Cricetulus griseus: one gene and its partner. The main gene of each other region encodes a partner of the protein of the gene in region 2 in a complex. Links are inferred from orthologs where the notes say so. Each region holds a gene or a part of one and is shown on either strand. Other genes may lie near its edges.

What was found.
Region 1: the proteins of Izumo1 (region 2) and Izumo1r are in contact, whole or in part, in a crystal structure (PDB 5JKC), measured with the Homo sapiens proteins. The link is inferred for Cricetulus griseus from reciprocal best matches to the Homo sapiens genes IZUMO1 and IZUMO1R. Residues at the interface, in NP_872381.2 of Homo sapiens: Met75, Val77, Tyr134, Val141, Leu146, Trp148, Lys150, Asn151, Lys153, Glu155, Val156, His157, Ala158, Arg160, Lys161, Ser162, Tyr163, Asn239, Ser240, Ser241, Pro242, Ile245; in NP_001186135.1 of Homo sapiens: Lys42, Tyr44, Glu45, Ile48, Leu58, Trp62, His65, Leu66, Asp67, Gly80, Leu81, Leu82, Met83, Pro84, Gly85, Arg87, Ile91, Met145, Ser146, Tyr147, Gln171.

What each region holds. Positions count from the first base shown.
Region 1 is NC_048597.1:128,422,378-128,426,124, reverse strand, and holds Izumo1r (sperm-egg fusion protein Juno), read left to right. Parts: upstream 1-971; coding exon 972-1,109; intron 1,110-1,723; coding exon 1,724-1,978; intron 1,979-2,600; coding exon 2,601-2,736; intron 2,737-2,872; coding exon 2,873-3,141; 3' UTR 3,142-3,356; downstream 3,357-3,747. UniProt on the Homo sapiens protein: Receptor for IZUMO1 present at the cell surface of oocytes (oolemma), which is essential for species-specific gamete recognition and fertilization.
Region 2 is NC_048599.1:154,523,593-154,527,339, reverse strand, and holds the start of Izumo1 (izumo sperm-egg fusion protein 1), read right to left. Parts: upstream 2,140-3,747; 5' UTR 2,080-2,139; coding exon 1,845-2,079; intron 1,490-1,844; exon of another isoform or gene 1,461-1,489; coding exon of another isoform or gene 1,409-1,460; coding exon 1,334-1,408; intron 589-1,333; coding exon 502-588; intron 54-501; coding exon 33-53; intron 1-32. UniProt on the Homo sapiens protein: Essential sperm cell-surface protein required for fertilization by acting as a ligand for IZUMO1R/JUNO receptor on egg.

The DNA of each region.
Region 1 (3,747 bases), on a different chromosome or scaffold from region 2:
GGATGTCTGAGGTGCTCAACTCAGGCTAGACTGCCTATCTCTAAGGCAGGTTTCCACTAGGCCTAGGGGACAGAGGATCTGTGAGGCCCTGGGTGGTAAAGACTGAATGGTGAATTCCTAAAGCAGGGTGCCCCTTTGCTTTGGCAGAGGGGGATCTCTCTGTCCACTCCCTACCCCCACCTCATACATTGCCAGTACAACCCAGAAGAGAACTGGAATTGCAATGTAACAGACACCAAGGTACAGGCCAGCTTTCATGTACCTGTGCTAGGGTGAGGGCTTAGAGGATAAGGCACCTCAAAACCTCATTCCTGAAGGGTCCCCAGCTCTGAGAGGCCATCAGGGGGCCCATCCTGATGCTTAGGGTGGCTTTGAGATAAACTGGGGCTGGTTGAAGTGGGATACTACTCTAAGGAAATGACTTTAGTTGGACAGACAGGGTGGGGACAAGCTACTCTGAGGAGCTGTGGGCCTGGTGTGGACCCTCCTGGGGACTAGAAAGAAGGTTGGTACTCGATGGCTAAGGCTTGATTGGCCACCCCACCCCACCATGTCCTTTGGCCACAAGGAGAATCTGCTTTCTGAGAATTGGTTACTTGGTCAAGAGGCTGGCTGTGGGCTGGGACCAAAGCTCTAAACTCCTAGACTATGCATTACTGAGTTAGCAAAGCTGTGTCTAAGTGTAGAAGGACTTGGTACCATTCCCTACCTGCCCTCCTCTTCAGAGCTGTTGTTTTCTTTTCTCTCCTCTTGTTGCTTGGTTTGGTTTCTGCATCTCTGCAACGGCTGGTAGTGGGGTGTCTACCTGCCTTGACACTCTCTGATGCTGCTCTACACAGAAGGTTCTAGAGCAGCCAAAGTGTTCCAGCAACCTGAGGGAGCCTTGGAGCCCCGACTCCATCTTTAGTGCCTGATGTGTGCAGGGATTAAGGTGGGTGTCTTCTATCACAGGATCTTCTCTGAAGCAGGTCATGGCACAGTGGTGGCAGATACTCTTGGGATTGTGGACAGTCATGTCCACTGTGACAGGAGACAAGCCAGTCAACATCTGCATGAATGCCAAGCACCACAAGCGAGAGCCTGGCCCAGAAGACAAGCTCTTCTTGGAGGTACAGGGACCAGAGCTGGCCCAGGGGCTAAGGTAGCTTCTTAGAATTATTAGAGAAGGATACAGGCAAGGAGGCCCCTGGACCCCATCAGCCCTGATCATTTAGTTCCTTAGTTTGGGTTTCTTCATCCAGGATTTGGCCCCTTAGCTGATCTGGCCACCTGGGAAACAGGCTATGTGGTGATCTCGGAGGCCCTGTTGGCTAATCATGGGTCAGTGCAAGCCTTCCTGACAACATGCACTGGCTAGACATAGGACTCAATTTGATTCCTTCTCAGTCTGCTAAAGGCAATTACAGAGCTATGGGAGGAGGAACATTTCAACTCTAAGTTGCTCCTACCCATCATCATAACCTCGGACTCCTGAAGCTCCCTGGGACTTCTTTCTATTTGCTTTCCTGGATTTATTGCCTCCCTGGAGCTGACATCAGGAAACTATGTTCTGTGGCAGAAAGACAAAGGGGAGGGGACCAGGGGTCAGGTGTTTCCCATTCTTCAGATACATGTTGACAGACACCAAGGTCCCTCCTCTACAGAGGTGCTCAATGTGTCCTCTCTTCTGACACCCTTCTGCCCAAGATCCTCAACCCTAGCCTCTTTCTCCCTCCACCTTCAGTGCGTCCCCTGGAAGGACAATGCCTGCTGCACATTCACCACGAGCTGGGAAGCCCACCTGGATGAGCTCCTGTTCTTTAACTTCAGCATGTTGCACTGTGGACTGCTGACCCCGGTCTGTCATAAGCACTTCATCCAGGCCGTCTGCCTTCACGAGTGTTCCCCTAACCTGGGGCCTTGGATCCAGCTGGTGAGGAGACAGGAGGCAAATCCCTGCAACAGCCTTCCATTAATCAAAGGCTGGCATCTCCAGGAGGCCAGCAGGAATAGGGAGATGGCTGTCCCTCTAGGGATAAGAGCAGAGCCAGAGCCCTGGGAAAGGATGAAGAGGGAGCTAGCTGCCTCTGTCCCTGAAGGACAGCATGGGGACACTGTCTGATGCGGGCGGCAGGATGAAGGGTGGAATGAGGTGCATCTGAGTGAATTCCATCTCCTACTTACAAACTGTGTAGCCCGGGACAAATAGCCACTCACTTCATAGTTCTCATTTATCTAATAGTAATAATAATAATAATAATAACAACAACAACAACCTACGGCTGGGAAATGGCTCAGTCATTAAGCACTTGCCACACAAGCATGAGCACCCGAGGTATGGAGGTGAACTGTTATAATCTCAGCCCTAGGGAGCAGAGACAGATGGATTCCTGGGGCTTGCTAGCCAGCCAGCCTACCCTGCTCAGTGAGCTCTGGGCCAGTGAGAAACTCTCTCTAAACCAACATGGATGGTGCCTGAATAACAACACTTGAGGTTGTCCTCCAGCCTACACACGCACATTCACTTACAGAATGTACACACGTGCACACACACAGAAAGAATAGTACTCAGGGACCTTTATAAAGGATTGGGTATCTTCCTCTCTCTCATCTGCACCCAGGTGGTCCCAAACAGGCAGGAAGAGCAGGTTCAGGGCGTGCCCCTGTGCCTGGAGGATTGTGAGGAATGGTGGGAAGATTGCCGCTCATCCTACACTTGCAAATCCAACTGGCATAGCAGCTTCCACTCCAGTCAAGGTGAGTGCACTGACTGGGTTCTCGGGGGCTGTTTACCTGGGTGAGGACACAAACCTTCTTATGTCCCCCCACAATGATGGGGGCATGGAAGGGATGGGACAATGGGAAATGAGGACACCATCGTCGACCCCCACAGAGAAGAACCACTGCCCAGCACAGGCGCCCTGCCGCCCTTTCCCAGATTACTTCCCCACCCCCAGTGATCTGTGTGAGAAGATTTGGAGCAACACATTCAAGGCCAGCCCTGAACACAGGAATAGTGGACGGTGTCTACAGAAGTGGTTTGAGCCCACTCAGGGCAACCCCAATGTGGAAGTGGCCCTCCACTTTGCCAACTCTGCCTCAGCCTGGAAGCTTTCTTACACCCTTACATCCTTCTCTCTGTATCTGCTGCTCCATTCCTGAGGGTCCCTCTCCCACCCACATTCCCTGATTCTTCTGAGCCATGGCCATTTCCATCCTCAGGCTATTCAGGGTGGGAGCAGGCTGGTGCCAGAACTTCCCATGCCACCCAGGGTCCCCTCTACTGCTTGACCCTGCCTCCACTAGCCTGGTACCCAACTGGTACCTAGCAGTCTAAGGTGACTTGTTATTCCTGCCATTAGGAATGGGCATTACTATAGGACTCCAGGCACTTGTTATCATGTGATACCCATCTTTTTTGTGTAACAGAGACAATGTTGAGAGCCAAGATACCTGCCCTATCATGGTACCTTCAATAAAATGATAGGGAAACTCTCCTCTCCATGTGCCGCTCTGTTCTAGTCCTATGGGTACCAACCTAAGACATATAAAGAGGGAGCTGATTTGTCCTCATTAAGATTTTAATTTCATTGACTACTAATGAGGATGAGAATTTTCAATATTAATTGGCCATTTGGAATGTGGCTGTCTCACACTGTGTGTGTATGTGTGTGCACGTGTGCACGTGCACATGTGTGTGCTCATACCTTTCCTCCCTCCCCCTGCCCCGTTTCTTCAAAAAGACTCACATCCCAGGTTATCCTAGAA
Region 2 (3,747 bases):
CAAGAGAAACAGATTATGCATACTGGACTCACCACATTGGTTGGGACAAAAAACTGCCTCCGAAGGGGGAAAGGGGGGAGGGAAAGAGAAAGAAAATCACATTTGTTTTTGTTTTCAGAAAGGAGTCTGGTATAACCCAGGCTGGTCTCAAACTTTACATCAATGAGGATGACCTTGGACATTTCATCTCTTGCTACTACCCATCAAGTCCTGTGATTAAACGTTCTATCAGTCAGCATCTCAGCACGTAGCCCAAGGTTGCCACAAATCTGGCAATCCACCCATCTCAGCCTCCCAAGTGCTGGCATTACAGGTTTTGCTACCAAGCTCTAGAGGATATTTCCTTCTAAATTAATGGGAGTGGATGCGGAGCAGAGATCTGAGATTTAGGAGCTTTTAGACACATAGGCAAAGGACCTGGAGAAGGTGTTCTTGAGGACATGGATGGAAGAGAGGGTTAAGGAAGCTGATGGCTGGGCCCTGGACTTTCATCTTCCTCACCTTCTTTTTGGAACCGCGTAGCAAGGGTGGCAAAGATGTCCTTTTGCAGACGGAGCATCCAGAATAATTCCTTTACAAAGAGCTCTCCTAGGAAGAAGCAGAGCCAGGAATGGTGCTCCCCAAACTCACTGTGAGGTGCAGTAAAGCATCCCATATGTCACAGATTCTACTCCAAGTGGCCTCAGATTCACCATGTAGCTGAGAGCGACCTTGAACATCTGATCTTTCTGTCTCCACCTTCAAGCATGCACCGGCATACCCAACATCTGCCTCTTAGTTATCTCTCCTCTCCGAGTCTCACCATGTATTCCCCACTGTCCTAGAACTTGCTGTGTAGACCATGCTGGCCTCAAACTCAGATCTAACAGCCTCTGCCTCCCCAGTGCTGGGATTAAAGGTGTGTGCCGCCACCACCAGCTCCACCACTCTTTCTTATTTGCTTGGCAGGATGGCACTACGTTGCCCAAGCTATTCTGGAACTCTGGGTTTAAGCAATCCTCCTGCTTCAGCCTCTTGAGTAGCTTTAAGTACAGGGATGCCCCACGTGTCTTCACTGGCATTCCACACTCTAGCCCTTCAGGGGAAAACTATAAGACTAAGCACTGAACACAGAGCTGGGCCATAGGGCTACGAAACAGATCCTCACAGTCACGGAGAAAGGGAGACGATTGTGGTCTCCATATTAGGGCTGAGGAAGCTGCCCAGCCTTAGGCTCAAGGCCACATGGCTAGGAAATGGCAGAACCAGAAAGGCTCTCAAGCAGAGGCTTGAAGCTTTAAGAAACCAGCCACGGTTCCTCAGAGGTTCTGCCCTCATCCTGTGGTACATTTACCTTTTACATCACTGTCCGTGATACGTTTCAGATCCTTCAGAAAACTCCAAGATGCCTGTTCCAGTGTGTCCTCATCTGTGTGTGGAGGGCAGATACAGAACCCCAGAGTCCAGCTTTTCTGTCGCATTGGCTTGTCACCACATAGAAACTACAATACCCATGAGGCCATTGGGCAAAGAGAGGCCTGGTGTAAGAGGTAACCGCTCATTGCCTTATGGGAGTTGTAGTTTTACCACACAACTTGCTAGAACCAATATTGTGAGCTATAAGGAGGGAACTCCATGATTCTGTATCCCAAGACTTTTCCATTCCTTTTTTCTTCTTCTTCCTTTTCGAGACAGGGTCTCACTATGTAGACCAGGCTGGCCTCAAACTCACAGAGATGCACTACGCAAGAGCATGGACCACTAAGGCCCAGCGACATTTCCATTCTTAAACTCAGTAGCACTTCTGGCCCCAGCCCTTCCTCTCCCAGGACCCTGAGGTCTTCATCCTGGCCTGCCCTCCTTACCCACGGCCCCCACATAGGTATCCTTATTCAAAGGCAGATCCTTGAAGTCCTTCACCGCCTGCTCTACCCTCTTCATTACGTTTTGATGATGCTCGGGTGCCAGGTGGCCAGGCAGGTAACTCTGCTCCAAAGTCTTTAGCGCAGCCACTACAAACGGGTCACATATGATGCAGGGCCTCGCCAGACACAGGCAGTCGGCCAGAGCGGCCAACAAGAGTGTAAAACGCGGCCCCATGGAGGCCAGAGCGCACAGCTCGCCAGCACCGCCAGAGGATCCTCTCACCCCAAAACGAGGGCGGGGGGACGCTAAACAGAAGCCAAAAAACAGTCTTAGAGCACTCCAAAGCTCAACACGAAGGTCTCTGGGAAATTTCCAAGTAAAAAGGAGGTATCATTAATTAAAGACGCAGAATGTGAATTCGGACCCCCTACCCCAGCCCAGGAGACTTCAAAATTTATGGTCTTCGTTGCATTCCTGCAACTATTAAACCATCCCCAAGCTCTCTGCATTCAAACTTCAAACGCATGGGCTCACCCCCCAACTCCCCCAAACTCATATAATTCATAACTCTGAACCTGGGTCAACATTCAGATGCTCAAGTCCTGAAAACCCCGTGGCACAGCAAACTAGATAGTCAATAGTCAAAACTAGATAAACCATCAAAAGCCGGGGCATTGGCACCGAGGAAGTCAAGACCACCGTGGTCTATTTGAGACACTGTCTCCAAACCAATTAATTAATTAAATAAGTAAATAATTTGTCTAATAAATAGCCAACTTGCAAACTATCAAACTAAAAAGGTCTTCAGAATAAAAAATATCCTAAATCCTTTAACCTGAAGGTCCTACAAAAACTTCAACATGCCTCCAAAGCCATCCCCCGGTTTCTGGAGTACCTGTCCACTCTCCCTAACTTTCAGGACACTCTCCTCTCAGGCCCCCAATACCTCTTTAACAGCCGCTCTTCAACTTCGTGCCCTCAAGCACTAATGCTTCGCCCAGATACTTTCTCACGACTAAGATTAAGTTTTCCTTGGAAGACTGGGGAGAAGAATTTAGGGTTTTTCTACTGGCTCCGAGAGTAACCGGTCGCCCCCTCTTCACAAAACACTTGGGCCACATCCCACATGGGGGACCCTAATTCCTAATTCCCTTAGAAATATTTCTTAGGACTGTCTTTGGCCCCGCCCAGAATCCAACTCTAAGCTTGATTGGACTGCAACAAAGCAGGCCCCGCCCGTCCCTCCGTGACGTCACAGGGTGGCATCCCTTTCGTAGAACTTTCCCAGCACCTACGGAATGGAAGTCGCTAACCTGTTCTGTTCATTGCCCCCCCGCGCCCCCAAGTTTCGGCCGGACGCCCTCTGGCTGGCTAGAAACCTTGGCATCAGATAAGAAGATGCGGTAAGTGGCTACTCTTAAATGGGACTACAACTCCCAGAAGGCACTGGAGCTTCGCTCTTTCCCTATGACCAGTCCCACAGCATGGGAAAGGTAGCTAAACAGTGATACTCTTCTCTTATGAGGAGAGGCCTGGATCCAAGCATGGTACCCACACGTGTAGTCCTGGCGCTTGAGAGGCTGAAGCGGGAAGAAAGCCACGAATTCCCAGCCAGCCTGGTCTACATAGTGCTTTCTAGGCCAGCCTGGGCTACAGAGACTGTCTCAAAATAAAACAAAACACAAGATAGGTCTGGTGGCCAATACCGAAGTTTCCAGAGACAGGTACTAAGGGAAAATGGACCACAAACCTAGCAGCAAGGGTTGCCAGATCTGAGTATGTACAGTATCCATGAGTCATGAATGTCCCCAGTAGACACACACACACACACACACACTCCCCTCCACTGTGTTGCTCCACATTCACACATGCAGTACACAGTCAGCTCCAAAAACTTCAAAT